Linked DNA regions of Stegostoma tigrinum. The protein of the gene in region 3 purifies or fractionates together with the protein of the main gene of each other region. This does not show direct contact. Links are inferred from orthologs where the notes say so. Each region holds a gene or a part of one and is shown on either strand. Other genes may lie near its edges. The genes, in order: tnrc6c1, tarbp2, protein argonaute-1 and trinucleotide repeat-containing gene 6A protein-like.

What was found.
Region 1: the proteins of protein argonaute-1 (region 3) and tnrc6c1 purify together in Homo sapiens (affinity purification with mass spectrometry; 5 studies listed by BioGRID and IntAct, with this or other methods). This does not show direct contact. The link is inferred for Stegostoma tigrinum from reciprocal best matches to the Homo sapiens genes AGO1 and TNRC6C.
Region 2: the proteins of protein argonaute-1 (region 3) and tarbp2 purify together in Homo sapiens (co-immunoprecipitation; 4 studies listed by BioGRID and IntAct, with this or other methods). This does not show direct contact. The link is inferred for Stegostoma tigrinum from reciprocal best matches to the Homo sapiens genes AGO1 and TARBP2.
Region 4: the proteins of protein argonaute-1 (region 3) and trinucleotide repeat-containing gene 6A protein-like purify together in Homo sapiens (affinity purification with mass spectrometry; 10 studies listed by BioGRID and IntAct, with this or other methods). This does not show direct contact. The link is inferred for Stegostoma tigrinum from reciprocal best matches to the Homo sapiens genes AGO1 and TNRC6A.

The regions. Positions count from the first base shown.
Region 1 is NC_081375.1:33,587,412-33,594,978, forward strand, and holds the start of tnrc6c1 (trinucleotide repeat-containing gene 6C protein), read right to left. Parts: upstream 3,122-7,567; 5' UTR 2,874-3,121; intron 1-2,873. UniProt on the Homo sapiens protein: Plays a role in RNA-mediated gene silencing by micro-RNAs (miRNAs). Required for miRNA-dependent translational repression of complementary mRNAs by argonaute family proteins.
Region 2 is NC_081404.1:11,895,692-11,903,748, forward strand, and holds the start of tarbp2 (RISC-loading complex subunit tarbp2), read left to right. Parts: upstream 1-5,056; 5' UTR 5,057-5,151; coding exon 5,152-5,204; intron 5,205-8,057. UniProt on the Homo sapiens protein: Required for formation of the RNA induced silencing complex (RISC). Component of the RISC loading complex (RLC), also known as the micro-RNA (miRNA) loading complex (miRLC), which is composed of DICER1, AGO2 and TARBP2.
Region 3 is NC_081377.1:21,413,549-21,421,591, reverse strand, and holds the start of protein argonaute-1, read left to right. Parts: upstream 1-4,922; 5' UTR 4,923-5,031; coding exon 5,032-5,056; intron 5,057-8,043.
Region 4 is NC_081376.1:22,158,294-22,166,326, reverse strand, and holds the start of trinucleotide repeat-containing gene 6A protein-like, read right to left. Parts: upstream 3,021-8,033; 5' UTR 2,896-3,020; coding exon 2,891-2,895; intron 2,602-2,890; coding exon 2,554-2,601; intron 1-2,553.

The DNA.
Region 1 (7,567 bases), on a different chromosome or scaffold from region 3:
TGTTCCCATCCAGAAATGAAACACAATGAGATGCAAATTTTCTCTGAAAAAAACCTTGATCTTGTTTGTTTCTCCACAGTCTCATTAACAAGGAGTCATAAAAAACATGAGTGCACTGTTCACCATTTCTTGAAATTTGCTTTGTGAATTTGTAATAGCAGTCCCAGAAGTTAGAAACCAAACTGGAAATGTTTCCAAAGTCAAATCTATTCTTTTTTTTCTGAGTACAAAGGCAGCACTGTGTAAATGCTATCTGCAGTGATGCTTATTAATTAATGCATCTGATTTCATCAGCCAGCTTCTCCTCACAATCAGCACCTGTCAGGTCATAGGAATCATAGCTGGTCTTCAGTGGAGCTAATTAATTTTTCTTTTAAAAATATTCACATCAAACAAGGTAACAAATAGAAAAGGGACTATCATACTTCCTGAGCAGCATAACAGAATTTAACATCACTCTGTTAAAAGAGCCAACTTATATTACGAGCTACATTAAATGAACTTTCTGCTTACCATAAAACAATCATACTGATTGATGAATGTATGTATTATACATTCATTCAATTTATTCCAACTGTTTTCTTTTAAAATGTGATTGGGAAATTGTACATAAAACATATGATTGGAGAACATGCATCAAGTCAGATTCGCTAATTTTACTTTTGCAAATATTTAACCTGGCATATATTGAATATTACAATTCTATTATATCAATTTTGAAGACAAAGGGACTAGGGTGGGTCTCTAGAGATGCCATTTCCGAAATATACAATGGCTAACTCGAAAGAAACATGATTCCTTTGCTACATAAGGTCAAACTTAACTAGTAGTGAGAAAGATCAAATTAAGGTTTATTCACTGTAATTATATTTCAAGGAAGTTGCTAGCAACCCTGTGCCTTTTGCAGTCAGAAAACTTGTGACCTGTAGAGGTTGGCTTTGCATCAGCTATGACAAATGATACTTCTTTGAAAAACTGCAGGATAAACCTTATGTGTATTCCTGCACACACAACTTAATTAGCACAACATTGAAACAATTGGCTCCATATCAGGTACGCAAACTATTGAAAACTTTCAAGACTAATGCGCTTTTATAAAAAAAGTGCTATTAGATCAGGCTGATATACTTTCATATTTACACATTGGAAGTAAACTAATTAGCTTGCCAAATTCTACACACCAAGATGATGGAGCATGACTGTCCATTTTGCTGGGCCCCAAACAACTGAACAGAGCCCCACTGACTGACATAGCAAAAACAAATGCTTTATTCACGCTTGTTCCCTCCTACAATAGTGATTTATTATTGCCACTGTATACAACCAGAATGGATAAACTCTGCATTTTAAATAAATAATATAAATATTGAATGAGGTATTCTGAGAATGTCTGTTGTATTTTCTCACAACACATCACTACAGCATCATGTGTTTGAAAACTGCTTAAAAATTATCTTTAATTTTGTTTAGCCATGGGAAATTATCAAAATCTACAAACTGAGTTCAGTTGTCAGTGTTAACAATCACTATTTAATGCATAGTTTCTTAGAAAAAGTTCCTCAGATTATATAGAAGACCAAGCCATTCTACCAAGTTCACACACCTCCAGATACTGTAGTGGTATCCCAATCCTGTGCTGGGCTCTAAAACAATCTAATCATGTAAGCCAGGTTAAAAGAAGGTTTGAGTGTTTTTATTCCTGCTCTTTAATTGCTGCCTATAAAAAGAATAAAACAAATTTGTCAATGCATGGAACAGCATCAGAACATCTACATTAAATTAACTCAAGTGCATTATTTATGCCAGCTTTATCATTCAAAATCATCAACATTTCTTCAGCTGGCAGTTTCTATTCTAATCTTCCTTTCCGCTTTATAATTGTCTGAAGCTACACTCTTCCCTGCTGGAAGATTAATTAGCCAGTTCCCCGTGCACAATATACCATACCTCTGAATGCTGTGGAATCTGGAATGATGCCAACTCTCTTATTACAATTCAGCTGGCTGCTGCTGTGAGAGGCTCAGTGCTCCCCTAACAACAGTTGCTGTGCCAACTTAACCCCAGCACTGGCTAACTTTCAAAAATCACAGGCCAGACAAACTTTGATTGGCATAATTACTCACAGTCATTAAGCGCAGTCGCATTACACATGCAAAACAGGCGAGTGGAGTGCACGCCGGCAGCTCGCATCAGTAAGACGAGCAGTTGTTCAACAGTGTACTGTAATGGAGAAGGCACTCGGCTCCTACCTAATGGATCTCAAATACTAAAGCGACAAAAAGCTTCAGCGCAGAATCTACTTAAAGAGCAGCATTGAGATCATCTGAGGAGGGTAACCTTGTCAGCCATGTTGGATGCAAGGCTTATGGCAAACACAGTAGGATACGTTAACCAGACAACGATTTTCCCACGGTCTTATTCTAAGTAATCAGTAATCAGCTCTTGAACATTTTTTTTCTACAGCTGCCATTAATGAAGACAAGACAAATCTGCATATTGCCATTCTTCATTGTGCTAACTTGGCAATGAGCCTACTGCTCGACTGAATAGCCAAACATAGGGCCTTGAGGTGAAAATGTGGAAACAGCTGAACGCTGCAAAACTGGTTCACTCAAAACGATGAAACAATTAACAACGGGTGGGAAAATTAGAAGCGAAAGCACGCGTAGACTGTTGAAACTCTCACTTTTGCTTTCTTTCTATATCTTCGACTTGGTCTCCGTGCGGGAAGGAATTTAGTAATCACAAACTGAGGTACAGATACAAAAATACTGTACAAAAAAAGTGGACTAAACAAAAACAAAAAAAAATGAGGCCAGGCTGAAATTCCTGCGCACTCTGCAACCATCACTAATTAATTAGCGCTAAATTACCTCACAGATCGGCCAGGCATCAGCTTCGTGAAGTTTATTCAGCTCAAGGCGACAAAATCGAAACAAAGCGAATAAAGAATATCCAGCAAGACCCAGGATTCAGCTGCTGGATATGAATCAGAATTTATGGGAGAATCTGCTGCATGTGAAAGCAGGTCATAAGCTCTGCAATACAGGCTGCAACAGCCAACTGCAAAATGAATACATCACACTCAAACAGGCTGACGCAGCCACAGCACACATCCTTACTTCACACCATCAAAATATTCGATGAAACACACTTGCGAAAATACTAATGATGTTGGCCATTTTATCACACTTTTAATTTTATGTACCATCGGGAAGCCCTTGCCTCCTTAAGCTTTTTGTTACCAACGCGACTATTTTCAAGGAAATCTAGTGACCCGCTATGAGTTGGAAATTTGCCTAACTTTGCTCCGAAACAATTGTACACTTGCAAATTAGCAATTACCATAGTTATGTCCAGGATTTGATTACTCCCAGCAGTGTCAAATTGTGCTTCTGTGAAAAAATGTTTTGTGCGTAATCCGCTCTGTACTGCAGCATATTTGTATACCTGTAGTATGCCAGCCTTGTACTGTGCTGAACGGTACGTTAATTAATCATGTGAAGCTACAAAGCACCACTTTGTAAATGAACGAGAGGGGACTCTTTTGTTTCTCCCACTGGAAGTTACAGTACAAACCTGGCAAATCTATGTGGCTAACCTAAAGGCAAGCAGATACTGTTAATGATTGTGCACAGAGCAAAATGAGACGTGATGCCATATGTCTCATTTTGTCAAGCCAGAAATGAGGAGAGATGCAGCAGCCATTTTATAAACAGAATAACACTAAACAATAAAGGGCTCTTAATGCAAACAATGCAAATTTAATTTTAAAAATCATATTTCAATGGTGATGTGCATGTTAGGACTTCTACAATTTTCTTAACAGCATCACTATTGGAAGGTGGTAAACAAATATAAATAGCAGTGATCTTCAAGCTGCTAAAAAAGGAAGCAATTTTGATTCACATCTCAATTATGTGGAATGAATTAAAAAATTAAATACTTACAAAAACACCCTGAATGGAATACAGTCATGCTGTTCTTATTCCAGTATTATGTTGTGACTTTAAATATTAGGAGCTTTTATATGGGAGAATATTAAAGGAAAATTTCATTGGTAAGGCACATACTAAATCTAAAATGTAGAAATTCAACATATAACTAAAAGAAATGAAATAATTTGTATTTAGCCATTTACTTCTAATTTGTCGTTTGGTCAATTTATTTAGTGCATTCAAACAACTTATTTAAATTTGATATATCTCAGAACATGCACTATTTCTAAATTTTCACACCACCTGATGTGTGCAAACCTGAAAAATCTAACTCATGCTTACCACAAATAAAATGAGCCAGTAGCTCACTCACTAATTCTTTATACTTCCTTTATTCTCTTGAACATTAAAAAATGACCATTTTCTGTTGACAAACCTCTACGATTAGCACTGATTAATTCTCAGAATCTGACAGGTTTCTTGTTCCTGCTGTTTAAATAACAAACCACCTTATGCCACTTCATTCCAAAAATCATTGAGGCAGTTGAGATCAGCTACATCCCTGCACAAAAGCAATGGATTCATTTTTTTCCCTAGGATTGGGAATTAGTTCATATTTCATGGATTGAAACATAGAAATGAATAGTTTGCTTGGGCATCTGTTAAGGAAACAAAACACTTCCCATTAGATGTTTATGCACTTTGAGCTTGTGATTTTGTCAAATTGGCGCACATACTAACACACACACACAAACACACACACACACACACACACACACACACACACACACACACACACACACACACACACACACACACACACAGGTATAATTTTGAACTTATATTGTGTCTCATCTGTGGTTTTTACATTTCCCCTTACACAAGACATAATATCCACACAGCCATCATTATCAATTATTCTGCCAGCACACATTAAAGATCTTACAAATTAATCTAGTTCATATTTTTCACAAACGCTCAAACAACCTGTCATTCTTTTTCAGTAAAGTACCAAAAGATATACTGTTACACCTTTATTTTGCTTATTTATCAGGGGCTTTTTCTTTTCAGATAATGTTAAAATTGAAAAATATACAGCTTCTGTTATGTTGGTCAGTCAACATCAGAAGCCATGCATTTACGGGAAAAAAAACTTACCAATGAAGTAGACTGAGTTTCCTCAGGCCTTTGGGGGCAGGTTGGATTGTTGGGAAAGTTTCAGAAATTGACTTTGCGATGGGATATGGATGTGACACCATCCTGCTCTGACTTTCCCTTGCTCACAATAATGGAGAGCAAGGGACACCCTTGAATCGGATGGGGAAGTAATTAAGAAATTTTAGAGAAATTGTAGAATAACCAATTATAAGGATCTTAAGCCTTGAATCTTGGATTTCCAACTGTAAAATCTGTGTTTTTTTTTTAAACTGTCAGCAACTCAGCAGGGTCAGCAAGATGAGCGCATAGCCTAAAGGCCTCCTTCAGTAAAACTGACAAGCTGGAAAGCCTTTGATTAGTTACTCTGAAGACCTCCAGCACTGGCCACTGAGAGACTGCTCAGTACTTCTTCAGGTCACTTATTCTCTGAGAGTGTGATTATTGCTTGATAGGTGATTGCCAACTGCATGGAGAGAGAGAAAAGAGAGAGTCAGTAGCACAAGCAGAGATGATGGGAACCAAGAGTAGTGGGAAGGAAATTAATTAAACCAGTCTTGGGAACTTTTACTTACTTGCAGAGGAAGCCAGAAGCTAAAAGAAACATACTCGAGTTTATAAACATGCAATAACAATATCAAATTGAGACATCATAAGAAAGCTGTGAGTTAATTGACTGGTGAATATTGCATCTATTGTTTGTCAGAAACTGGTCTTCCACTGGTAAAAGTATATGTCCAGTCACTGTTTACTTCTCCAAGGCTGAGCAGCAAAAGGCTATTTAAATTCTACCCAATCCAAGCCAGCAATAGATCAGGACCAAATTCATGTGAACTCAAGATGTTGATTTTGATCTGTATCTGCTGTATGCTTTTGAGTTTGTACTGAAGTGGGCCTCTCTGATTGTCACAATTGCACATGCACCGGAAGTCCTGGTGTTAATGACTGGGAGATTCCAAAAGCAGATCAGGTAAGATAGTGTCATGGACCAAATTATAGATTAGAAGTGAAAATGTTTTTGCATTATAAGAGTATTTTGCATCGCCCCAGCTTACAAAGCATTCTGTGCACTGACTTGTGCAGGTAGCTAGCGTGGCTTAACTTGGTCATCATCAGGCTGATCCTCAAATTCTCATTCAATGATGAGGTTCACTCCGCTCCTCACTCTGAGGGAGCATCAGGTTGTGCAAGACACACGATACCACAACAACAAGTGAGGCTCAAGCAGGAGAACATTATCGAACACCATCTGACTTGTCCAAACATCAATATCTCATTTTCAGTACACTCTATGTATTTAAAACTTTTATTAGGCTCAGTACCGGAGTCATGTACCATCTCTTCAGGGGATCTCCCTTGTTACCCATATGCCACCAAAGGTTCAGAACAAATAAGGTCCCTGGCACCTGGGAGCATCTCAGCATGTTAGCACGACATCTTCTAAGATATCGAGTGCACACCTTTTGACCATGATCACATCCAAGATGCTCATAAATGGAATGGTAGCATTTTCTGCTCAGGACTGTCCCTAGCTTTCCCAAAGGAGTTTTATTTGTCACCTATGTGCAATCTATGACTCCTTGTACTTTTGGATACCATACAATGTTAGCAAAGCCTCTGGTACCATCTGCTTGACTTGTGTTGTCAGTGCTAAATGAAATAAACTCATGGAGGCACGTGAACGCTGTATCTATGAAAAGCTTCATGTGATAATGAGTAGCTAGCTGCAGGATCCGAGAAAGGTCTCCAGGTAAAGACTTGAAGGAACTCAACATCAAAAAATTCAGGACTATTGTGACCTTCCACACCACAAGTACAGACAGTCCACGAACACAATTTGAGTCAATCTCCACAGCCAACATGCCACACAGAGATGTGACTGTTTCACTTCAAGGAGTCTCCTCTGCCATTGGCATTCTGACATTTTTAGGAGTATGTCACACATTGCTGGTACACTCTGTTGGTAGAATAGAGCCTTCTCCTCCCTCTGTCCTCCTGCTGCTGATGATGATTTTTTCCACAGGATCGTAATCAACTGTCAGTTCATTCCTCCTGAACCACAGTGTGAATCAGGCCCTGGCCTGTTCTCCCACTCATCTCCTCTGGACTGCAAGAGGAACCTCCTCCAGAATAGATAGTACTCTGAAGAACAACTGTATCCAGGTCCAGTACTGAGGTGCAGGAAATTCCCTTGACACCTCTCTTGATGCCTTTCCACAACAGTATGTCCTAGGTAAGGTTCAAAACAATTATTAAAATAACTTGCGACACTAGCAAATCCTTCCCACCTTCTCTGTAAGAGTCTTGTACTAAAGTCAGCCAAAATCCTGCTTGTAAACTTTCAAATGTCCTTGCAATGCCTCCTCATACTGGCACAACTCCTTTGTAATGTTTTGTCCATGCGCTAACTGAAAATGTTGAGGGCAACATTAAATTTGCATTTCACAAGGGTGATGCCAAACTGTAATGGTTGG
Region 2 (8,057 bases), on a different chromosome or scaffold from region 3:
CTACATACTGCTCCAACTCTTAAAATTCCAAGGTTGTTTAAGGGTCTTGACACACCCATGCATGAACAAGTGACAAGCTTAAAAGACCATAATTGAGTGGGTAAATCTGCCTGGTCCCAAGTGCAAGTCCCTCCTGTTTTTCAAACTCAACTACACAACCTCAGAAATGAAAATTCCACTGAATGTTTCAGGTTGTGACCTTTCATCAAGGAAGGATATTTTGACATATGGTGGGGTGCAGCAGTTTCCTCAAAATCATAAAAGATACATAATTCTTTGAAACACAGGTAGAGGCAGTGGTTAAGACAGTGTTTAGCACACTTGTCTTCATTGTTCAGATGTTTGAATACAGGAGTGGGACATCACGTTGAAGTAGTACAGAATGTTGGTTAAGCCTCTTCTGCAGTACTGTGTGCAGTTCTAGTCACCCTTCTATAGGAAGGATATTATCTAACTGGAGATGTTCAGAAAAGATTTACTAGGATGTTGCAGGGAATGGAAGGTTTGAGTTATATGGAGAGGCTAGATAGGTTTGGGACCTATTAAGGTTTATAAAATCATAAAGGGCATAGATAAGGTAAATAGCAAGGGTCTTTTCCCTATTTGGGGGAGTTCAAAACTAGGGGGCATATTTTTAAGGTGTGAAGAGTTTTTTTTAAAAAGGATATGAGCAGCTACTTGTTTTACAGTGGTTCATGTGTAGAATTAACTGCCAGAGGAAGTGGTGGGTGCAGGTACAGTTACAACATTTTAAAACATTTGGATTAAAATGTGAACAGAAAGGGTTTGGAGGGATATAGGTCAAACACAGGCAAGTAGGACTAGTTTAGTTTGGGAACATGGTCGGTGTGGACGAGTTGGACCGAAGGGTGTTTGTGCTGTATGACTCTGTGACTTTATTTGGTATGAATACTAGGATCACTTTGAATTAATGTAGCCAGTCGTTTGAGCTTTTATGGATTGTAATGGTATTATCAGTTACAAAAGGAAATAAAGACTTCTGCAAAGTTGCTGGAAAGGCTCAGCACGTCTGGCAGCATCTGTGAAGGGAAAAAACAGAGTTAACGTTTCAGGTTCTTTCTGAGGAAGTGTTACCGAACCTGAAACATTAACTCTGATTTTTCCTTCACAGATGCTGTCAGACCTGCTGAGCCTTTCCATAAAACGTTGTTGTTGTTATTGTTGTTCCTGATTTACAGCATCTGCAGTTCTTTCACTCTCAAGCAGATGTTCACCTGCACATCTGGCAATGTGGTATACTGTATCCACTGTACCCGGTGTGGCTTCCTCTACATTGGGGAAACCAAGCGGAGGCTTGGGGACCGCTTTGCAGAACACCTCCGCTCGGTTCGCATTAAACAACTTCACCTCCCAGTCGCAAACCATTTTAACTCCCCCTCCCATTCTTTAGATGACATGTCCATCATGGGCCTCCTGCAGTGCCACAATGATGCCACCCGAAGGTCGCAGGAACAGCAACTCATATTCCGCTTGGGAACCCTGCAGCCCAATGGTATCAATGTGGACTTCACCAGCTTCAAAATCTCCCCTCCCCCACCACATCCCACAACCAGCTCAGCCTGTCTCTGCCTCCCTAACCTGTTCTTCCTCTCACCCATCCCTTCCTCCCACCTCAAGCCGCACCTCCATTTCCTACCTACTAACCTCATCCTGCCTCCTTGACCTGTCCGTCTTCCCTGGACTGACCTATCCCCTTCCTACCTCCCCACCTATACTGTCCTCTCTACCTATCTTCTTTTCTCTCCATCTTTGGTCCGCCTCTCCCTCTCTCCCTATTTATTCCAGAACCCTCTCCCCATCCCCCTTTTCTGATGAAGGGTCTAGGCCTGAAACATCAGCTTTTGTGCTCCTGAGATGCTGCTTGGCCTGCTGTGTTCCTCCAGCTCCACACTTTGTTATCTTGGATTCTCCAGCATCTGCAGTTCCCATTATCACAGGATGATAGAACATAGAACAGTACAGCACAGAACAGGCCCTTCAGCCCACAATGTTGTGCTGACCATTGATCCTCATGTATGCACCCTCAAATTTCTGTGACCATATGCATGTCCAGCAGTCTCTTAAATGACCCCAATGACCTTGCTTCCACAACTGCTGCTGGCAACGCATTCCATGCTCTCTCAACTCTGTGTAAAGAACCCGCTTCTGACATCCCCTCTATACTTTCCTCCAACCAGCTTAAAACTATGACCCCTCGTGCTAGCCATTTCTGCCCTGGGAAATAGTCTCTGGCTATCAACTCTATTTATGCCTCTCATTATCTTGTATACCTCAATTAGGTCCCCTCTCCTCTTCCTTTTCTCCAATGAAAAGAGACCGAGCTCAGTCAACCTCTCTTCATAAGGTAAGCCCTCCAGTCCAGGCAGCATCCTGGTAAACCTCCTCTGAACCCTCTGCAAAGCATCCACATCTTTCCTATAATAGGGTGACCAGAACTGGACGCAGTATTCCAAGTGCGGTCTAACCAAAGTTTTATAGAGCTGCAACAAGATCTCAATGTGCTTTGTTTTTTTCATTCCACATTTGTTTTCTTTATATCAATGTTATAGAGGTTTTATGAGATGATGAGATATTTTTCTAATGAATATAAGCCAGATTCTGGTGTGAAGACAAAAAAAAAATGACATTTGCTATTACACAGGTCAGATGTGCACTTTGCAAGCTACAAAAATGCACAGATCAGATCTTACCAAGCTCCAAGGAAAATATGCCCCCCACTTCTGCTGTGTAGATGAAACTAGTGGGGTGGGGTGGGGTGGGGGAGTCATATTGGATAGTACAGTTTTTGGAAAGTTCTCTATGACTGAAGGGAGGCTATTTCCCTCCCATTTTCTAGCTTTATTCCTGGAACCACTTATTTCAAAGACCCGCTGAAGTAATATTGTTGACTTCAGGAAATGTTTAGTTGCTTGTCTATTATCAGGACAGTTCTTTCTGATGTGGTTTTCTTTGCTTTATTTTGTTACTTGCATTTAGTATTGCAAATAAAAATGAATTTAATGTTGGATATAATATTGTCAAGTTAAATGTCATCTCTGAACTGTGGGTATGGAATACAAGTCTTTATTCACCTTTTATCATTGATTATACCATTATATTCCACAAAATCCAGGGTGTGACTACCTGAATTCCTAATATTCATACTAGATGTGTCAAGACTCCAACATACATTGGAATTTTAGGAGTTGAAGCAGTATGTAGATGAAGGTTTAAGTGGCAAACTTAGCTGCTGCAGGTATTCTCTTCAACCTGCCAGCCAGAAAACTGCAATTCCCTGAGATGAAGGGTTATAAGATGACCAAAGTTTTAAAGCAGTGTTGACTGGAAAGTATCACAACTTATTTTGGGACAAGCAGTCCCTGTACACACGTTGCAATTTTTTTTAACGTCACTTCTTGGCAATACAACAGGCTTCACTCAGAATTGATACACCAGGGGCAGGATCTGGCCAGCTTGCCTTCTACTGAAGGCTAGCTAACAATCATTTACACATTTTTAAAAAATACAAACATAATTCATTTCTTTTCTTCTGAACCTATACTCTTAAACTGTTGTACATTTTGCTGTTTCCTTACCATCGTCTGGCATTGAAATTTGACATATTTGCCATCAGCTGGACTGTTGCCAGTATTTGGTTTATTCTCCCCAAATCTCCCAAAAACAATTGTATAATTTTATTTTAGCTGTGCGTAAGTGGGATGCAAATCTGTCAATCTCAAACTTCGCCAAATATTATACTTTAAAGAAATCAAGGAGCCAGCATAGAGACAATAATTATTTTTGAATCTTGTGCTTTTGGACTGATCAGATGATTTTAAAAGTAGATTAATCTACTGTTGTGATACAACATTTGCTTAAATCAAGGTTGCCAAACTCTCTGCAGGACTAGTAAACCAAATGTACATTCTGTTTTGCTCAAGACATTTTATTTTCTTCACTTGTGGGATGTGGACATCACTGGCTGGCTAGCATTTTTATTGCTCATCCCTAGTTGCTCTTGAGAAACACTACAGTCCTTGTGCTGTAGGTTGACCCACAATGCCCTTAGGGAAGGAATTCAAGGAATTTTGACCCAGTAACAGTGAAGGAACAGCGAATATCTTTCCAAATCAGGATAGTAAACGGCTTGAAGAGGAACTAGCAGATTGCAGTGTTCCCACGTATCTTCTGCCCTTGTCCTTCTGGATGGAACTGGTTGTGATTGGAAGGTGCTGTCTGAGGATCTTTGTTGAATTCTGCAATGCATCTTGTATGTGGTACACACTGCTGCTACTGAATGCCAGAGGGAGTGGATGCTGTGCCAGTGGTGGGCTGTTTTGTCCTGGACGGTGTCAAGCCTCTTCAGTGCTGTTGGAGCTGCACCCATCCAGACAAGTGGGGAGTATTCCATCACACTCTCGACTTGTGCTAGGCAGATGGTGGACAGGCTTTGGGGGCGGGGGGTGGAATCGGGAGGAGTTAATTGCTGCAGTATTCTTTGCCTCTGACCTGCTCTTTTGTAGCCAGCATTTATGTGACAAGTCCAGTTGGGTTTCTTGTCAATAATCACTACAACCATGTTGACAAGTGGGGAATTCACTGATGGTAACAGCACTGAATGTCAAGGGGTGTTTAGATTGTCAGTCGTCTTCTTGAAGATGGTCATTGCCTGGCATTTGTATGACGCAAATGCCATAAAAGTTCAGCAACTATTGTTACAGGAAAGTACAGCCATATTCCCTTGCAGTACATGCTTCAGATTAAGCTGCACAATTGCTGCTAATCACAAGTTCTACGTGCTGGTTACTTTGTGATTATCATATTTCCTCTAAAGAGATATAACAGCAAGAATGTTTGCAAACTCATTCTAATTAATAAATTCTACCAAGTCTTTGTATCTTTTTTTAAAAAAAACCTGTTGTGTACTTTGGTAGTAATATCTTCCCTCGTGCCCAGGCGCTCCGCTGCCATTTTGAGCCAGTTGGATCTTTAGCGCGCTTTTTGGGCCTTGACCGCTGAACCGGAAGTGGTGGCAGCAAAAGCCGATGCGCCTGCGCAGTGGCGAACGGCGTTGGTGCTTATGCAGGGACCGAGCAGCAGGAGTCGGAGCCGCCGCCGTCTGAGCCACGATCGCCGGCACTGTCATCTGGGATGACGGAGGATCGGGCCGCTGCTGCAGCCAAGAAGACTTCCAGCTGTCCCAGGTATAGAGCGAGCCGGAGGATATCCGGGTTTTAGAATTGGAAGTTCTTTTGTTTCCTCCCTGTTCATTCACTGCTTGAGCTGCAGTAGCAGAAACCCGTCTGCTTTGAGTTACATTTGTATATAGCCTTTCCCATTTTCGGGACCTCCCAGTGCGCTTTGCGAGACTTTCGAAGTGCAGCCCCATTTGTGAGGTAGGAAGCTACAGACAGTTCGCAGGCACTTCCAAGTATGTGACTGTGATCTCAGAGCATCTAATTTGAGGGACAAAATAGTTGTCACAAAGGATCTTACTCTCCTTATTTTCGAAATAGTGCCGTTGCACCATGCCTGGCTATCTAAGAGGGCAGATTTACTTTAAGTGGATCCAGGTATGTCTGACAATGTCCTTCCTGGAAAAGTGGAATTCAAGCCTGAAATCAGCTATGATCATGTTTAAGGTTGATGGGCCTTACAGAATCATAGAAGCCCTATGGTGTCGAAGCAGGCTGTTCGGCCCAGCGAGTCCGCACAGACCCTCTGGAGAGCATCCCACCCCCACCATGTTCCTGTAACCTTGCATTTCCCAGAGCTAATTCACTTCACTTGCATGTCTGTAGACACTATGGGCAATTTAGCTTGGCCAAGGCACCCAACCTGCACATTGTTGGACTGGTAGCCATGATGTGGAGATGCTAGTGTTGGACTGGGGTGGACAAAGTCAGAAGTCACGTGACACCAGGTTATAGTTCAACAGGCTTACTTAAAATCATAAGCTTTCAGAGTGCTGCCCCTTCATCAAGTGGAGTCAACCTGACAAAGGAGCAATTCTCTGAAGGCTTGTGATTTTAAATAAACCTGTTGGACGTATAACCTTTGTGTCACCTTTGAACTGTGGAAGGAAACTGGAGCACCTGGAGGAAACCCACACAGACACTGGGAGAATGTGCAGTCTCCATACAGACAGTTGCCCAAGGGTGGAATCGAACTCTGGTCCCTGGTGCTGTGATGGTCCATTCCTATTTCTGTTCTTTGGATTTTTGTGCTCTTAACATGGATAACAAATCCAGAACTTAGAGGCAAATGTGCTACCAACTGAGCCACACCTGGCACACAAATAAAATCTTAAAATGTAGAAGCAAAATTCAGTTGCTGAAGCCATTAAGTCTGGCATTCGATGAGAGCATGCCTGATCCCCATAACCCTTGATTTCTTTACTGATTAAAAATCTGTCCACCTCAGCTCTGAATGTAGTTGGTGACTCAGCCTCAACAGCTGCAATAAAGAATGCAACAGATTCACTTCCCTCTAAGAGAAGAAATTCCTACTTGTCTCTTCTTTGAATGTGCAACCCCTTATTCTGAGATTATGTTGCTTGGTCGTAGACTCTCCACAAGGGGAATCAACCTCTCTGCATCAACCCTGTCAAGCTTTCCCCCCCGCCCTACCCAAGAATCTTGTACATTTCAATAAGGTCACCTCTCATTCTTCTAAATTCCAATGAGTACAGGCTCAACCTACTCAACTTCTAGGCATAAGACCATCCCTCCATACCCAGGATCAGCCAAGTGAACTTTCTCTGGACTGTCTCCATTGCCAGTTTATCTTTGCAGATAAAGGGACCAAAACCGTTCACAGTATTCCAGCTGTGGTCTGATTATTGCCATATCTAGTTTTGCAAGACCTCCCTATTTATATCAAAGATGAAGATAGGAGCAGGAGTAGGCTATTCAGCTCCTTGAGTCTGCTCTGCCATTCATTATGATCATGGCTAATTATCGAGCTCAAACCCTAGTCCCACTCTTCCCAAGCTCCTTTGAAATGAAGGCATGACATTCCATTTGACTTCCCTATTACTTGCTGAACCTGGTTCTTTGTGGTTCATGGGTGATGACTCCCAAATCTCTCTTGTTCTGTAGCTTAAAAATCTGTCTATCTCAGCCTTGAATATACTTAGGAACTCAGCCTTGACAGCCCTCTGCAGTAAAGAATTCCATTGATTCACTACCCTCTAGAAAAGAAATTCCTCCTCGTCTCTGTGGACACCACATTCTGAGATTATGCCTGTGTTCCTGAACCCTCCCACAAGTGAAATCAACCTGCTCACACTGACCCTGTCAAGCCCTAACCATCTTGCTTCTTTCAATAAGATTGCCTCTCATTCTTCTAAGCTCAAACAAGTTCAGGCCCACCCTACTCAACTTCTTCTCATTATGACAGTCCCTCCATACCTGGTGTCAGCCACATGAACCTTTCTCTGGACTGCCTCTAATACCAGTTCATCTTTCCTTAGATAAAGGGCCCAAAACACCTCAGTATTCCAAGGCTGTGGCAAGTTTTAGAACTGAATCCACCCCCCCCCCCCCTGCCATTTTACACTGTTCCCTTTAAAATAAAGGTCAATACTCCATTTGCCTTTTCTCTTTGAATGCTAACTTTTTGTGTGGAGCCGTAAAGATTCATTAGGTCCAAAAAGAAATATTTATTTGGATGAGGCATCAACAATTTGCATAGAAAAGACTGCTAGACACACATGCACCCATCTTCCATATATTTAAAGCAGGCAAGTTAGAAGGACATAAACACAGGTTTACATCAAAATGCTTCCAAAATATCATTTCTCCTAACATTAGGTTGTTATGCAAAACCGTTTATTGTAGACTGCAGTTAATTGACCGGTCTCGTGAGTGGCATTGTGGCTTTACCATTAAACAATGGGAACATTTCACTTGGCTCCAAATAACCAAGCAAGCAATTGCTTCAAGATTAGGATATCCCTGGCTGGATGACACCAGAAAAACCAGGATTTGGTTTGTGACTGTATTGGTTTAATCGGTAAACATCTACCCATAGTTCTGAACAAATAAGGAGGGTAC
Region 3 (8,043 bases):
AAGGAGGAGGAGAGGGGACCTAATTGAGGTATACAAGATAATGAGAGGCATAGATAGAGTCGATAGCCAGAGACTATTTCCCAGGGCAGAAATGGCTAGCACGAGGGGTCATAGTTTTAAGCTGGTTGGTGGAAAGTATAGAGGGGATGTCAGAGGCAGGTTCTTTACGCAGAGAGTTGTGAGAGCATGGAATGCGTTGCCAGCAGCAGTTGTGGAAGCAAGGTCATTGGGGTCATTTAAGAGACTGCTGGACATGCATATGGTCACAGAAATTTGAGGGTGCATCCATGAGGATCAATGGTCGGCACAACATTGTGGGCTGAAGGGCCTGTTCTGTGCTGTACTGTTCTATGTTCTATGTTCTAAGTCACCCTGAGCATTTTCAACAACTTTTCAGTTGAAATACATGAGTCAAACTCACTTCAGATCAAACAAAAGCCTTCATTAAAAAGGAGCACCATGCAAGCTTTCTCTTTTAATGTAGTTTTTAAAAAATTGAGGCACTTCAGAGTTATTCAAGTATGACCCTGAAAGGCATAAGTATATTTGAGCTGATGATCAAAATCTTAGTTAAAGGTAGATTTTATGAACATCTTAAAGGACGTACAGCAGTGCAAGGAGGTGATTTCAGTGTTTCGGGTTCTTGAGAGGCTGCCATTGGTACAGCAATTAAGAGTGGATTAAAGATGAAGTGTTGGAGGAGTGCAGGTATCTACAGTTGGCAGAGGATAAAGATGAAGGGTAATGCCGCTAAGGAATTTGTAAACAATAATAAGAATTTCAAATCAGTATTGCTTAACCAGGAGCCAGGGTAGGATCAGAATCTCAGGAATGCAAAGTGAACTAAGTTTAATTTGATTTAGGATACAGGCAGCAGAGATTTCTATACGTTTACAGAGGTGTAAGATAGGTACTAGCCAGCAGTACATTGGAATATTGAACTTTTAAGGATAACAAAAATGAGAATGAGGGTTTCCAAAACAGCTGAGGCTCTGGTGTAATTGGAAAAGTGGGAATGGAGGTCTTGATGGCACAAGAATTATCTGCATCCTATGTAACATTCACCATTGTGAACCGTCTGGATCAGTCTATAACAGCTGCCAGGAAGAGGGCTGGAGTCAGTTGTTGGATAACATTCGTGATGGAACTGAATGCAATGGCTTTGACAGAGGAGATGTATTGAAGATAGATAGTGTAATCAACAGTTTCAGGTTGCAGACTGTTGGAGATGATGTGGGATATTTTACCATGGTCACAGTCATATTTTGAAACTTTGAGGGTCATTTCATTGCTAAGGTAGGCAGAAAGATGCTTGGAATATTTAATCCAATTTGGGAATTGACAACACATTTAAGGATTTTGAATATGTGAAGAGAATTGGAGATGGGGACTTTGATTTACATGGACTTCAGGGATAAAGATTTATTTTCTTTTTGAGGAGGCAGTGATGAGGCAGATTTATGGAGGGTGCAATACCTGAAGAGAATTATTTGTCAATTATTATTTATTTAGGGATAGGTAATGGCCTAGTGATATATGGCTAGACTATTAACTCTGAGACCCAGCCAACATTTTGGAGAACTGGGTTTGAATTCCACCATGGCAGATGGTGAAATTTGAATTCAGTAATCTGAAAAGGAGAGTCTAATGATGACCATGAAACCATTGTCGATCGGTAGAATTAAAAAATGCAATATGGCTCACTAATGTCCTTTTAGGAAAGGAATCTGCCATCCTTCTCTGGTCTGGCCTACATGTGATTCCAGACACACATCAGTGTGGTTAAGTCTTAATTGTCCTCTGGACAGTTAGAAAATGGCAAAAATTTTTCGCCCTGTTAATGATGCCCACGTTTAGTGGATGAATTTTTAAAAAAATTAACATCAACTTCCATGGTCAAGAATGTTCAGCAATTTAGTAAGAGTCAAATATGAGGAGGAACAATAGATAGATAGATAGATAGATGGATTTCTTGCAGAGGATAAAGTGTGGTCTGAGATGCCATAAAGAGACCTTGGGAAGAGAAACCTGCTTATGGCATGGGGACCTTTTGTGAAAATTTATCTGTGAGTTGGAAGAAAGCAACTGAACGGATGGTTTCAGTCTTGATCTTAAAGTCCATGAGCTCATCACCTTAGACAACAGAGGAGGTAGAAGGATAGTATAAGAAAATGGTTTGCAATAAAGTAGCCTGGGATAATCCTGTAATATCGACCAGTTTTGGTAAAATATAGAAGCAAGAGCATGGAGAGGCAAACAATGCAGGAAATTAGAGCCCAGCTAGTCTACCGTTGAGAAAATTCTGGAATCCATTACTAAGAAAGTAGTAGCAATAAATTTAAATTTATAATCCATCAGAGTCAACATCGTTTTCTGAATATCATGTATAACAAATTTTGAGTTTTTGAGGAATTAACACGCAAAGCTGAAGGAAAAGCAGACAGTGTATTTGGATTTTAAGATGTTTGATTAAAATATCATGGGGAAAGATTATTAGCATCTAAGAGAATTATTTCTAAAATCTTGGAATAAATAGAATCATTTGGTAAACAGTAATTAGTGATATAGCACCGAATTGGTATTGATAGCTTGACTGAAGAGATTGATTGCATTGTCGCCAAATTTGCGGGTGATTAAAAAGGTAGGCAGGTGAGGAGGCTACAAAGAATTTGAAGGGGCACGTGTTTAGTGGACAAATTTTTAGCAATTGAAATATAATGTGGGAAAATGTGAAGTTGCTTACTCTGGTAGGAAAACTAGAAAGCAGAATATTAATTAAAATGACAGTAAAGAATTCCAGGTGCCTTCATACATGAATCTCAAATGCTGATTCAATAAGTAATTAGGAAGGCAAATGAAATGGTGGCCCTCCATTGCAAAGGGTTTGAGTCTAAAAGTAGGAGCATCTTATTACACTATACTGTGACTGAAACAGAACCCGAAGTTCTATATACAGTTTTGTTCTCTTAGTTCAATGGTGGATGTGACTACGCAGGAATTAGGACCAGTAGCGTACTATTCAGACCCTCAACCTCACTCTGCCATTCAACTAGAACATGGCTGATCTTTTTAATGTCATTACCCTGCATAATCCTCATCATTTATCGATTTTTAGATTTCAAAGTTATATACTCCCTTACCCATATCTGCAGTAAAAATCTATGTCAGGAGAGACTTTAAAGGAGCAGAGGAGGAGAGCTGGTGTTACTGTTCTCTCTCTTATAAGGAAACAGTGATGGGATAGATTGCATATGACAGGAGAGAAGCAGGGAAGATCTAAAATTTTCAGTCATCCAACAAAAAGGCAAAAAAATTCAAATGACAGCAAGAGCACAGAAATATTGAGGAATCTTAATGTTGAATTTTAAGAGAATATCCAAAGAAAAGAAAAGCACAGTGGTTGAAGAGGAGTGAACTTTTATTTAATTTTTTTAAAAAAATCTTAAGTGTGGGGTAGATGAAAGCTGCATGTCAACGGACTGCAGGTCATGATTCTGAAAACCTCTTCAGAGTCTCAGCCTCCCCACCAGGAGAACAGTCCCAATTTTATTATATCCTTGGCAAGTTTTTTGGGTATCACTCTTCAATGCGTTCACATCCTACAGACAAGCGTTTCTCACCGCCCCCCCCCCCATCCTCCTTCCTTCGAACCAAACAATCCCTCCAATATGGAAGTAGATTTTTTTTCCCTCGAATCCACACTGACCCTCCGAAGAGCCTCCCACCCGCCTACTGTATCCCTGTAACGCTGCATTTGTTACGTCCGATACACCTCGCTAGCCCATGTGCGAAATATACACAGTCGCTGGAGAGTAGAATTGAATCCGGGTCCCTGGCCACGTGAGAATCAGTGCTAACCACTCAGCCACTGCATGACGTTCTTTTGTAGTCTTCTTATCCATTCTGTGTTCTTGCTGCCCTAAGGATCTGTTTCTAAGCCCTTTCTTTCTTGATCCCCATTCTGAACTAGCAAAGAAGTCATAAAGCCCCAGCCATTTTATGGCAAACGTTGGTAATTCTGCAATGACGAACGTCTGCCACGAGAGGGAGGCTGGACCATTTAAAAGTGCTTCCGTGTGTAATTTTCAAGAGAACATATACGTGTGTATTGTATTTATTTCACACTTTATAATAACATTTTAGTTTGTTCATTATTCTAGCTTTTGCGTGTTCAGTGCTGCACATGTATGACGTAGTATTTTACCTTATCCATTGCTTTGTCCAGGCAACAAAGTTAAAATCGTAGCTTTCTGGAACACCGAAGCAAATTAAACGATTCCCTGCTCATGAAGACAGCAGGCCAAGCAGCATCTTTAGGAACACATTTGGCCTGCTGTGTTCATCCAGCTCCACACTTTGTTCTCTCGGATCCTCCAGCAGCTGCAGTTCCCATTATCCCCGCTCATGAAGACTCTGTTGTCTAAATGTGCCGCTTAAAATTGACTACTGTAAAACAGACTGCTCTCAACTTGTTCGATGATAAGCTGGTGTCAGTACTACGCTCTTTTTTCTGAAGAAGGTTCTAGGCCCGAAACGTCAGCTTTACTGCACCACTGATGCTGCTTGGCCTGCTGTGTTATCCAGCTCTATACCTCGTTATTTCAGCTTCTCCACCATCTGCAGTTCCCTCTGTCTCTCTGACAATTTAAGTCCGTTTTAAAGAGTCCACACGTGACCCACAGTAACCACTCACTACTGCTCCTCCAGCGTCCGCAACGTGGCGCTACCTGCTACCTTAGGTCGTCGTCTGCAGGTGCGTCGTGACATTACGGGAACGTCACTCATTGTGTCCGATGGATTTGGGTGGGGGGGAAGGGAGGTGAAAGTGTTAGGCGCATGCGTGGCGGAAGAGAGCCGGCTGCCGGGGCAGTTCCATGAGACGCGTGCGCAGTGGCGGCCCCAGGGAGCCTAGGCGGCGCATGCTCAGTGTCAGTGTGCGTGTTGGGTTGTGTAGAGTTGGTCCGTGGGGAGGTCGCGGGGGTTTGAGCCTTTACACCCGGGCAAATCCGCTCTCTCACGCTGGTATATGGGATGGAAGCGGGGCCAGCGACAGCAGGTAACCTGGTGGGGAGCGGGAATCGAGCTTGTGGTTATTTTTCTGTAGTGAGCTTTGGGGGCTCAGGGAAAGGGTCTTCTGAGGGAGCATGCGCAGTACCGCAGTAGCAGGCAACAGAGTTGTTTTCTTAAGAAATAAAAACAGGCTAAAGCTGCGAGTGCAAAGCTCAGTGCACACATTGCAGGGCAGAATAAAATCTCATTTTGCTGCACAGCACTGGTGTAGACCCCGTAGAATCTCTACAGATTCAAACTTTTCGTTGAGCTGCAGGTAAATGCATCACATTTGACGGAGAAATTGCTCTTGGAATGTGGACTGCAAAAGCTCCCAAGTCATATACATCTCATTTGTTTATTCGGAAAGTTAACTAATAGTAAAAGACAGTGCCGAGTGATATGAAGTAAGGCATGGACTTCCGAATAGGGTAAAGAAACAAAGCACTCTTATGTTGTTATAGCGGGATGAAATGATGAATCTCTAGATATGGCATTCTGGACACTATTGAGTGCTGAGACGAGTTTTTGTGATTGACAAAAAAAAACTCAGATTCTTCAGAGGATGCAGAGAAGTGTCAAGATCAAAGGATCTAGGTATGGGCAAAGACTCTTCCCCTTGGAATAAATGATCCTTTGTGAAAGCACGTAAATCAAACAATACACAAAGCCTCACTATGGTTAGGCAGGAAACCAATATGTTGGGAAGAAATGATTTGGGCTTGGAAGAATTTCTTCAAAGAGTAATGAACACAACTTTGAGGTAGGTTAGTGTGAAAGCTATCTTAGTTATTTAGATGTTGGATAACTTTAATTTGGGGTGCAAGTGGGTGGGGAAGAAAGGAAGATTCTTTTCATATCTGCCTCGATCTTCACCTGTGGAAGTAATGGCATATTTACCCTCTAGATTCATGCTGTTGAGCATTTTGTGTCAACCAGATATTTAAGTTTTAAATTTTCCTGGGTGACAGTGTGGCCACCAGAACAGTTTAATGTCGCACCTTTAATTTTTGCACCTTTTGCTGTTATGTTTGCTTATGAAACAATACTAACTATAACTTCATGGAATTGGTTGGCTTTGGAGTGCTTTGTGTGGTTCAGATGTCGTACATCTACATGAGAAGGCTGAGGGTTTCAAGTGTTTTGAATGAGACGTTAAACCGTAGACCCTTTTTGCAACTGAGGGCTCTAAAGATTGCATGGTGGTATTTAAGAGGATCAGTGGAGTTCTGTTATCTCAGCTAATCTTCCTCACTGACCTTCACACAAATAAGGTAATTCATTATTTTTTTCAAAGACACAAACTGTGACCAAACAAAAAGAATGTTCATCTTTGTTGTCTCAAAAAGAATGTTAATCAGCTTTGTGAAATATCAGGGCAAAAGCCATCTAACCCTTGGTTAGACCACACCTGGATACTGTGGGAAGTTCTGAGCATGACAAATGGATATACAGAAAAATATACACATTTTTGAGATAGAACATTGTAGATTTACCCAAGATACAATCTGGCTGTCAAAATTCTGGTAAGGGGAAATTCTGAGTTGGGTCTGTATTAGCTGAAATTTAGAAAGTTGTCCAGTAATATGATTAAAGATCTCAATACTATCAAGGACAGGCATGCTACGTACAATTGAATTGAGTTAAGGAGTCTGGAGCCAGAGGGCATGATCTTAACCATTAGACCCACACAAAATTGAAATTAGGAACTGCTTCCAAATCCAAAGTGTGGTAGAAGTTGGGTAGCTGATCTTGCGATGCTTGTTAATTTCAAACCTGGAGTTTTTGTTAGGACAGACAGGGCCATAGTGACATGGATCACAGACAGCCATAACCTCAGTGAATTGTTGTCGATATTTTCTAATCAACCTGTTCAGAGATGTTATGACACCTATCAGGACCAGGTGGGATTTGAACCCAGCCTTACTAATCTGGAGGTAAGGTCACCACCAGTGTACCACAAGAGGCAGTATAAATTGAACGATTGTACAGACTTCAGCTAAATCGCCTACACTTGTTCCTGCTTCAGCAGGAGTATTGTGTGCAGGTGCACTTGAGTAAAGACAGGAGGGCTTTGAAGAGAGTGCAGAAAGGATTTATAGTTATGTGGCTAAACTGCAGAAGCTAGGGTTGCTCTTATTTCAAGTAGAGAGGAATAAGAGGAGATTTGATTGTGTGGTGTCACGGATGGTTTAGGTGGAGCAAGGAAAGGTAAAGCATCTGTTGTTGGAAGAGTGAACAACAGGAGGACAAAGTTTGTAGGCTGACTGTAGCAAGTGATACTACTTTGGCAGTGAATGTTAGGATTCTAGTGCACTTCCCAGTAGTGTTCTGAATATAAATTCAGTAGTAGTGTTTAAAGCAAGAAAAATATTTTTGGAACAAAAAAATGTAGAAGTTGCTAGAGAAACTCAGCAGGTCTGGTAGCATCTGTGGGGCGAAAACTATTAACATTTCAAGTCTTAAAGAACCATAGTACTTTGTAGGCTCACAACTAACTACATTTAAGCTAATCTAAAATTGCTGCTTGGACAAGTTCAGCATGAGCTGTCAAATCCAATGCAGGTGCACTAAAAGTTTGTGCTGTGATTCTTAGTGGCTGAGAAATTATTTCTAAATTATCTAAAATCCTTTTTAGAATTGCAAGTGTAAACATTGTCTGCAGTGCAGCTAGGTTTTTGTTTTTTCTGATGTGTAACTTGTGTTTTTTGTATCATAGCAGATTCCTGTAGTTCCTGCTGGTTTGTTGGTCAACTAATAATCAGTTCAACAAGACTGCCTTATCCCAATAAAATGCAAGCATTTTGACATGAAAAAACTTAGGTACCAGTAATCATTCAATCTTTTTTCAAGAGCAAGACAAAACAAAAGGTGTTTGAGCTAGTGGCAAGACTGACAGGCAGGTGTCAATTTTATTTTGTGTTGGCATAAACAGCGTGCTGCTTGACCATGAAGCTGTACTCACTAGATTCCCAGACTTGCACTGCTGACTTT
Region 4 (8,033 bases), on a different chromosome or scaffold from region 3:
CTTTTCCCCTCTCACCTTAAACCTATGCCCTCCAGTTTTGGACTACCCCACCCCAGGCAAGAGGCCTTGGCTACATTCACCATTTCTGTGGCCCTCATGACTTTGTGAACCTCTACAAAGGAGGCTCCTCAGTCTCCGATGGTCCAACAAAAATAGCCCCAGCCTATTCAGCCTCACCCTATAGCTCAAACCCACCAGGCCAGCAACATCCTTGCAAATCTTCTCTGCACCCTTTCAAGTTTTACAGCAACCATCCCACAGAAGAACAACTAGAATTGTTCGCAGTAGTCCAAAAGCAGCCTCACCAAATGTCCTGTACAGCCGTGACATGACATCCCAACTCCTGTACTCAATGCACTGACCAATGAAGGCCAGCATGCCAAGTCCCTTTTTCACCACCCTGTCTACCCATGATTCCACTTTCAAGAAACCGTGCATCTCACCGCTAGATCTCTTTGTTCATTAACACTCCCCAAGACCATACCATTAACTATATAAGTCCTGCCCTGGTGCGTCTTACCAAAATGCAACACCTCATACTTACCCAAATTAAACTCAAACTTGGAGATATTACATTTAGTTCCTTCATCAATATTATTAATATATTGATTGTGAATAGCTGAGGACCAAGCACTGACTCCCGCCTGTACCCCAAAAGTCCATTTCTGGCACTCAAAAGAAACCTATTCTTTGTTTGCTAACAATCAGTTCTCTATCCATGTCAGTAAACTACCCCTAATCCTTTGCACCTTAATTTTTATATACTAATCTCTTACATGAGGTCTTTTCGAAAGTCCTTTGAAAGTCTAACTAGCCACATGCACCAGCCCTGACTGATCACCTCTACTGGCTACGTTTTCAAAACATGCTAGAGGATTTGTGAAGTATGATTTCTCTTTCACAAACCCATGCAAATGTCAATCCTGTCACTATTATCTGCTTTTACTGTCAAGATCCTCATATGTTGAAGGTTAACTTGACCGAGTCCTAGCCCTATCTTCCTAACAACCAGTCCTGAAACAGAAAAAGGCACAACAACGCAGGGACAGGATGTTGTCAAAAAGAACAAAGTTTTTTAAGCAGCAGCAACCTACCATACATAATCAAAAAATAAATAAAATTGCCCTTTTGGCAAGGCAATCATTGAAAATAGTAAGATTTATATTCCCATATTTGCACTTTCAACATTGCATCCAATGTGATCTCAGAAACTCAGCATTTGGTGGATAGAAAACCAACGTAAGCTTTTGGAGCTAGTAGGAACTGCCGATGCTGGAGAATCTGAGATAACAAGGTGTAGAGCTGGATGAACACAGCAGGCCAAGGAGCAGGAAAGCTGATGTTTCGGGTCGAGACCCTTCTTCAGGAATGGGTCAGACATCTTCATTTCTGAAGAAGGGTCTCAACCCGAAACATCAGCTTTGCCACTCCTCTGATGCTGCTTTGTCTGTTGTGTTCATCCAGCTCTACACCTTGTTATCTTATAAGCTAATGGAGCACCTTTCACAACCTCAAAACATCTCAACCTCAAAACAGAAGCTTGTTTTGAGGTAACGAATCCAAAATTTTGGAGCCTGTCCCATTCATGCTTGCACTGCCTGTATTTTTTTTTACGATATTACCATCATGCTAATGTTTGAATCCAGTCTCATAATTCTGAGAATGGCACATGACTAATGTGGCCCTCCACTGCACCCTACATTCCTGCTCACCACTTTTGCCTCCAGCTACATCTATAAATTTTATTCTTTAAGCCTTAGAAACCACCTAATTAACCAAATTTTTACCATTAGTCTTCACATTTTCATTCATTTAGTGTAAATGTGGATCTGGTCATAGTCCTGTGAAGTATGTTGGGATATCTTATTACTGAAAATGTGTCAGAACATTTTCCTACATTTATAAACGTCTCTCAAATGTTTAGCAGCTTCACAATTTCTATAAAAATTTAAACAGATTGAGGAATCATGTTTTTTTTGGCATCTGAGGATACACACACGCACACACACGATACGGAACTGAACCGTATGGACAAGGCAAGCTCACCCTAGAACTTGAAGTTAAGAAATAACAACAATGATAATATACTACAGGAACACTCATTCACCAATGAAAGATAATAACTACCTTCAAAAAATGGAGGAGCAAAGTAAATGCTCTCAAAGTAACAGCCAGTTGAAAGAATAACCACATCTGAAAAATCTGAATTACTTCTAAATTTGTATACACTGCACTTTACATCCCTTAATTTGCAGCGAGGCCGATCGACTCTTGCAAAATGCATGTTTACCAGTTAACATCTGGTTGGGCGGCACAACACGCCATGCCTTTCCTGACCCCGATCCAATCCCAGTTATTTTTATAGTATATGCAACATTTGCAAGTTCCAGTATTTATTCTACAATTTTTCTTCACAGTTCAACTCAAGCGAGATAAGGGGGGGGGGGGGGAGGAGGAGGAGGCTATACATGAGTGGGTGAAGGCCAGATATTTTCCTCCCCAAATTTAACTTGAATATATTTAACTGCAAAATGAACCAAAGGCAAACCTTACCTGTTTAGTTTACCTTGAGCTTCTTTGGTAGCGTTAGCCTCCAATCCTCTGCAATTAAACAGGCGACAATCAGAAGGCTATTTTGAGTATTATTTTTAAGCACAAAACCGCAGAAATGCCTTAAGTTCAGAGCGCTGCAATGCGGGATTTGCACACAGGCCCTATCCTACGGCTGCAGCAACAGAGGGGCCTACTTGTTTCTCTCTCACTCTCTCCACCCCATTACCCGACGCTCCCCCGTTTAGCGGCGACACAGCATCAAACAAAACGGTCGGTGGACTGCGTGCTCCCGAGCCGGCTCGTTTGCACAATCCAGGGAAAAAATAAATCTACACACCTCATTAATGTAAAGTGCAACAGTGAGAAATTCGAAAGCTAAACATGCGAATAAGGCTTTAACAGTGAGTGTGCGAGTGGCCGCGGCGCCAAACACAGCGATCACTTTCCACAGCCGCCATCTTCTCCTAACTGACAGGAACTGGTCCAACAGCGCGCGGCTGGGCACTTCCGGTCCGCAAATGGCTGATCACATGGCAACCGGCTCAGCATTGAGGGGAGGGCAGGAAAGAAAACGAGCTGTAAGTTGACAGTAAGCTCTCAAGGATGTACGAATACCAATAATAATTAATTCTCTAGCGTTGGAAGGGAGTTCGGAGACAGGAAGTCATTGGATATTTATCTCAAAAATCGCGTTTGGAAGTTAAATTAAAGACAGTCATTGTGCACACCCAGTTTTCTCCTCATGTAGTTTCCCCAGTTCAAGTCACCCTTGCCCGTTCATCATAGAATATTCGTGCGATATTCTACTGTACAACTTGTCCTCATCGAGCGATCACATATTTGTGCTTTCCAACCTCAAGTTTCCAAACTCCATTTTACCGTTGTTCTCATAGAATATTCGACCTTGGGCATTTTCACATTCTCAAGCAGTTGAGTTCGCTCGGCTGTTAGTTTCGACGGACTACCCCTGCAATTGATTTACTTTTTAATTCATTCCAATCTCAATAGATTTTGGTATTATTTTACCACAGTTGAATTATCTGGTGTTTTTTTCTGCATTTGATTTGATTGATTTTATTGTCACGTGTACCGAAATAGAGTGAAAAGCATTGTTTACGGTCGGTACAGGCAGATTACAGCAAAGGATGTACAGACCAAAGACATACAGGTTACATTATTTGAGGCTAGAGTCCTTTCAACAGTCTGATAACAGCCAGAAAGAAACTGTTCCTGAACCTGTCACTGTGTGTGTTCATGCTTCTGTATCTTCTGCCTAACAGAAGACGTTGGAGGAGTTCATTATCAGGGTGAGATGGGTCTTTGATGATGTAGGCTGCTTTTATGCGGTAGAGAGCTATTTAAGTAGAGTCCATGGATGGAAGGTTGACTTCTGTGATGGTATGGGCTGTGCACACCATCTTCTGTAGTTCCTTGCAGTCCTGGGCAGAGCAGTTGCCATACCAAGCCATTATGCACGTGGACAGTATGCTTTCAATGGTGCACCTGTAGAAGTTGGTGAAGGACATTATAGACCTGCCAAATTTCCTGAGCCACCTGAGGAAGAAGAGGCATTGTTGTGCCTTCTTGTCTTGCATTTATGTGAAGTCCAGGACAGGTCACCAGTTATCATCACTCGGAGGAACTTGATGTTCTTCACTCTCTCAAACTCAGTTTCGTTGATTTAGATGGGAGTGTGTTCTCCTCCTTTCTTTAAGAAGTCGATGATCAGTTCTTTAGTTTTGTTGACGTTGAGACAGATTGATTTCATTGCATCAAGTCACCAAGCTCTTTATCTCCCTTCTGTATTTTGACTCATCATTGTTAGATATCCATAATCAAAGTGATAGAAATCTGTTGGTGAATTAAACAATTTCCCTTGTTGGGTGCTGTGTATCATCATCAGGCATAGCTCAGAATAAAGCCATTCAAACCATCTGAAGTTAACCATATCATGAATTAAACGTAGAATAAAACTGACTTAACACTCTTTTATTTAATACCTCCAGGCAAGTACGGCGAAGGTTAGATTTTGAGTAAAACTCCTAAATATTATACTGTTAAACACTGATATTGTACCAGCTTTATCAGTCAAAAGATCCCTTTACTTTGTTTTATAAATCCCTTGACAATTCACAGTACATTTTCAATGAGAAAACCTTCTCCTCATAAAAATTAATCCTAAATTTAGAAACCTACATCTTCAACACTAATCTCAGACTTTCTTCTCTCTACCTACTAGTTTCTTGTGAGATTGAGCCCAAAGTTTATTGGCAACTTCTGGCACTTTCAGCCGTAGCATTGGAGAGATGCCAGCAGAGTGGTATTATCACTGGACCAGTAACTCCAGAGGCCCTGAGGACTTTTGTTTGAATCTCACTACAAAAAAAAATCCTGACATTTGAAATCACCAAATTTAAATGCGGAATTCAATGGTGGCCACAAGTGTTGTAAAGCCCTTTAGGGAAGTGATATCTGTAATCCTCACCTGGTCTGTTCTACTTGTGTCTGCATATTCACAGTACTGTGGTTGATTCGTAAATGTCCAGGAGTTGTACCTAACCACAACGAAGTCTGTTAAAGGAGATGAAACCAGGCAGACCAGAAGTGATAATGGCCCTGGTTGACCCTAAAATGTCCTCCTTACTAACATCAAGAGTCTTCTCCCAATTTTGGTATATATGTCCAACTGCTAGACATAGTCATTCTGATTGAATCAGATCTGACAGGCACTGTCCATGACACCATGATCACAAGCCCAATGACAGAAAAGAGCCACTGTAGCAGCACAGTGATAGGCATTCAAAAGAGTGTTTCCCTGGGATTCCTCAAGTTTGACTACAGGCCCCATGAAATCTCATGGATCAAGTTAAACATGGCCAAAGAAACCTCCTGCTTATTACCACTTACTACAGTTGATAAATCAGTTGTACTCTATTTTAATAGCCACTTGGAGGTCATACTGATGGTGTCAAGGACACAGAATGTACACAGGTGGGGACTTCAATGTACAGCACCAAGAGTGGCTCAGTAGCACCACTATTAGCAAATGTGTCTGAATCTTAAAGGACATAGCTGCAATACTGAGCTTGCAGCAGGCAATGACAGAACCAACAAAACGAAAAAAATATAATTGACCTCATCCTAAATGATCTACATTTAGCGGATACACCTGTCCCTGACATTATCGCACTGTCTTTACAGACTTCACTTTGAGGATACTTCCATCATTTTCTGTGGCAAAATCACTGTGTGGAATTGGTTAGATTTCAAACCAATCTAGCAAATGAAAACTGAGCAACATGATGTGCTGTGGATCAGCAGCACCAAAACTTTATGCAACATTTGACTTCATAGCCTAGGAGATCCCCAAATCAAAGATTACAAGCACAAACCTTTAGTATATTTCCAGAATGTTGTCATGACCTGTAACATTTACAGCAGCCAGTGCCTTCAGCCGTTGTTTGATATCATGTAGAGCAAATTGTGTTGGCAAAAGGCTGGCTTTTGTGATCCTGTAACTTTAGGAAGAGGCCAAGGTGAATCGTCAACTTGGCACTCCTGACTGAAAATGCTTCGAACTCGTTTTTTGCATTGATGGGCTGGGCTTCCCAATCGACAAGGATGGAGTTATTTGTGGAACCTACTTTTCCAAGTGAGTTGCTTAGTTGTCCAGTACCGTTAATGACTGGATGTGGCAGATTTGCAGAGCTAGGATCTGATCTGTTGGTTATGGGATTGCCCAAGCAGGGGAATCAACCCTGGTTCAATGAAGAGTGCAAGACATCACGTCAGGAGCAGCACCAAGTATATCTAACGATTAGATGTCAACTTGGTGAAGCCACAGAGCAGCAGTACTAGCAACATGTGATTAGACAGACTTAAGCAATACCAGGTTGACTGTCCTTGACATCAAGGCTGTGTTTGATTGGATGTGGCATCAAACAGTATTAGAATAACTGTCGTCAATCAGAATCAAAGGAGTCATATGTAGCACAAAGGACAATAGTTGTTATTGTTTGAAGTCAATCATCTCAGCCACAGGACATCACTGCAAGAGTTCCTCAGACTGGTGTCCTAGGCCCAAACACCTTCATCCATCCCTTCAATTATTTTCTTCCATCATAAGATCAGAGGTAGGGATGTTCATGAAGATTGTACAATGTTCAGCACAATTCACAACTCCTCAAATACCAAGGCATGGACAAAATTCAAGCTTGGGTTTATAAGGAACAGGTGCATCATATAAGTGCCAGGGAATGAACACCTCCAACAAGTGAGAAACCAACCAATGCCTCTTGACATTCAATGGCACTAAAAATGCTGAATCCCCTACTTTAAACATACTGGGAGTTACCAGTTACTAGAAGGTGAACTGGCTACAAGATGAAGCCATGAATTCTGCATCACGCAACTCACCTCTAGACTTCTCAAAGTCCATCTACTGGGCACAAATCAAAAGTGTGATGACATACTCTCCCCTTGCATGGATGAGTGCAGATCCAAGAATGCTCAAGAAGCTGTCTTGATCAAATGGGTCAATGGGCTGAAAAATCACAGATGGAACTCAATCTGGATAAATGCAAGATATTGCATTTTGGTACAACAAACAAGGGTAGGGTCTTGGATAGTGTGGTAGAACAAAAGGACCCAGGGGTTCATGTGTATAATTCTTTTACGTTTCCATCACATGTAGACAAGGTGGGTAAAAAGGCATTTGGCACACTTGCTCGCAATGTTCCATCCTTTGAGTATAGGAGTTGAGAAGTCACATTGAAGAGTTGTACGGGCCATTGGTGACGCCCCTTATAAAACACTGTATCCAGTTCTGGTTAACCAGAATATTATTAAACTGGAGACAGGTCGGAAGAGATTTTCCAGGATGTTGCCGGTTATGGAAGGTTTGAGTTATAAAGAAAGGCTGGTTAGACTGGGACCTTTTCCACTGGATCGTAGGAGGTCGAGAGGTAACCTTAGAGAAGATTATAAAATCATGAGGGGTATGGTAGAACTAATGATAGTTGTCTATCCCTAGGATGGGGGATTTCAAGACTTGGGGGACCATTTTTTAAAGGTGATACGAGTGAGATTTAAAAAAAGATATGTGGGGCAATTTGTTTTTTTACACAGTGGGTGATTCATATGTGGAATGAACTTCCTGATGAAGTGTTGGATGTGGGTACAATTAGAAATGTTGAAAAGACATTTGCATAAGTACATGACTAGGAAGGGGTTGGGGGGGATATGGGCCAGGAGCAGGCAGATGGTATTAGTTTGGGATTATGTTCAGTATGGATTGGTGGGATGGAAGGGTCTTTCTGTGCTGTGTGACCATTCAGGATGAAACAGGCACTCAAATGTCACACTAGCACACAGAGACAGCAGCATGCATAATGTGCAAAATGCACTACAACAATGGACCAAAGATCCTCAGAAGGCATCTTCCAACCTGCAACATCCACACCTAGAAGGACAAGGATAGC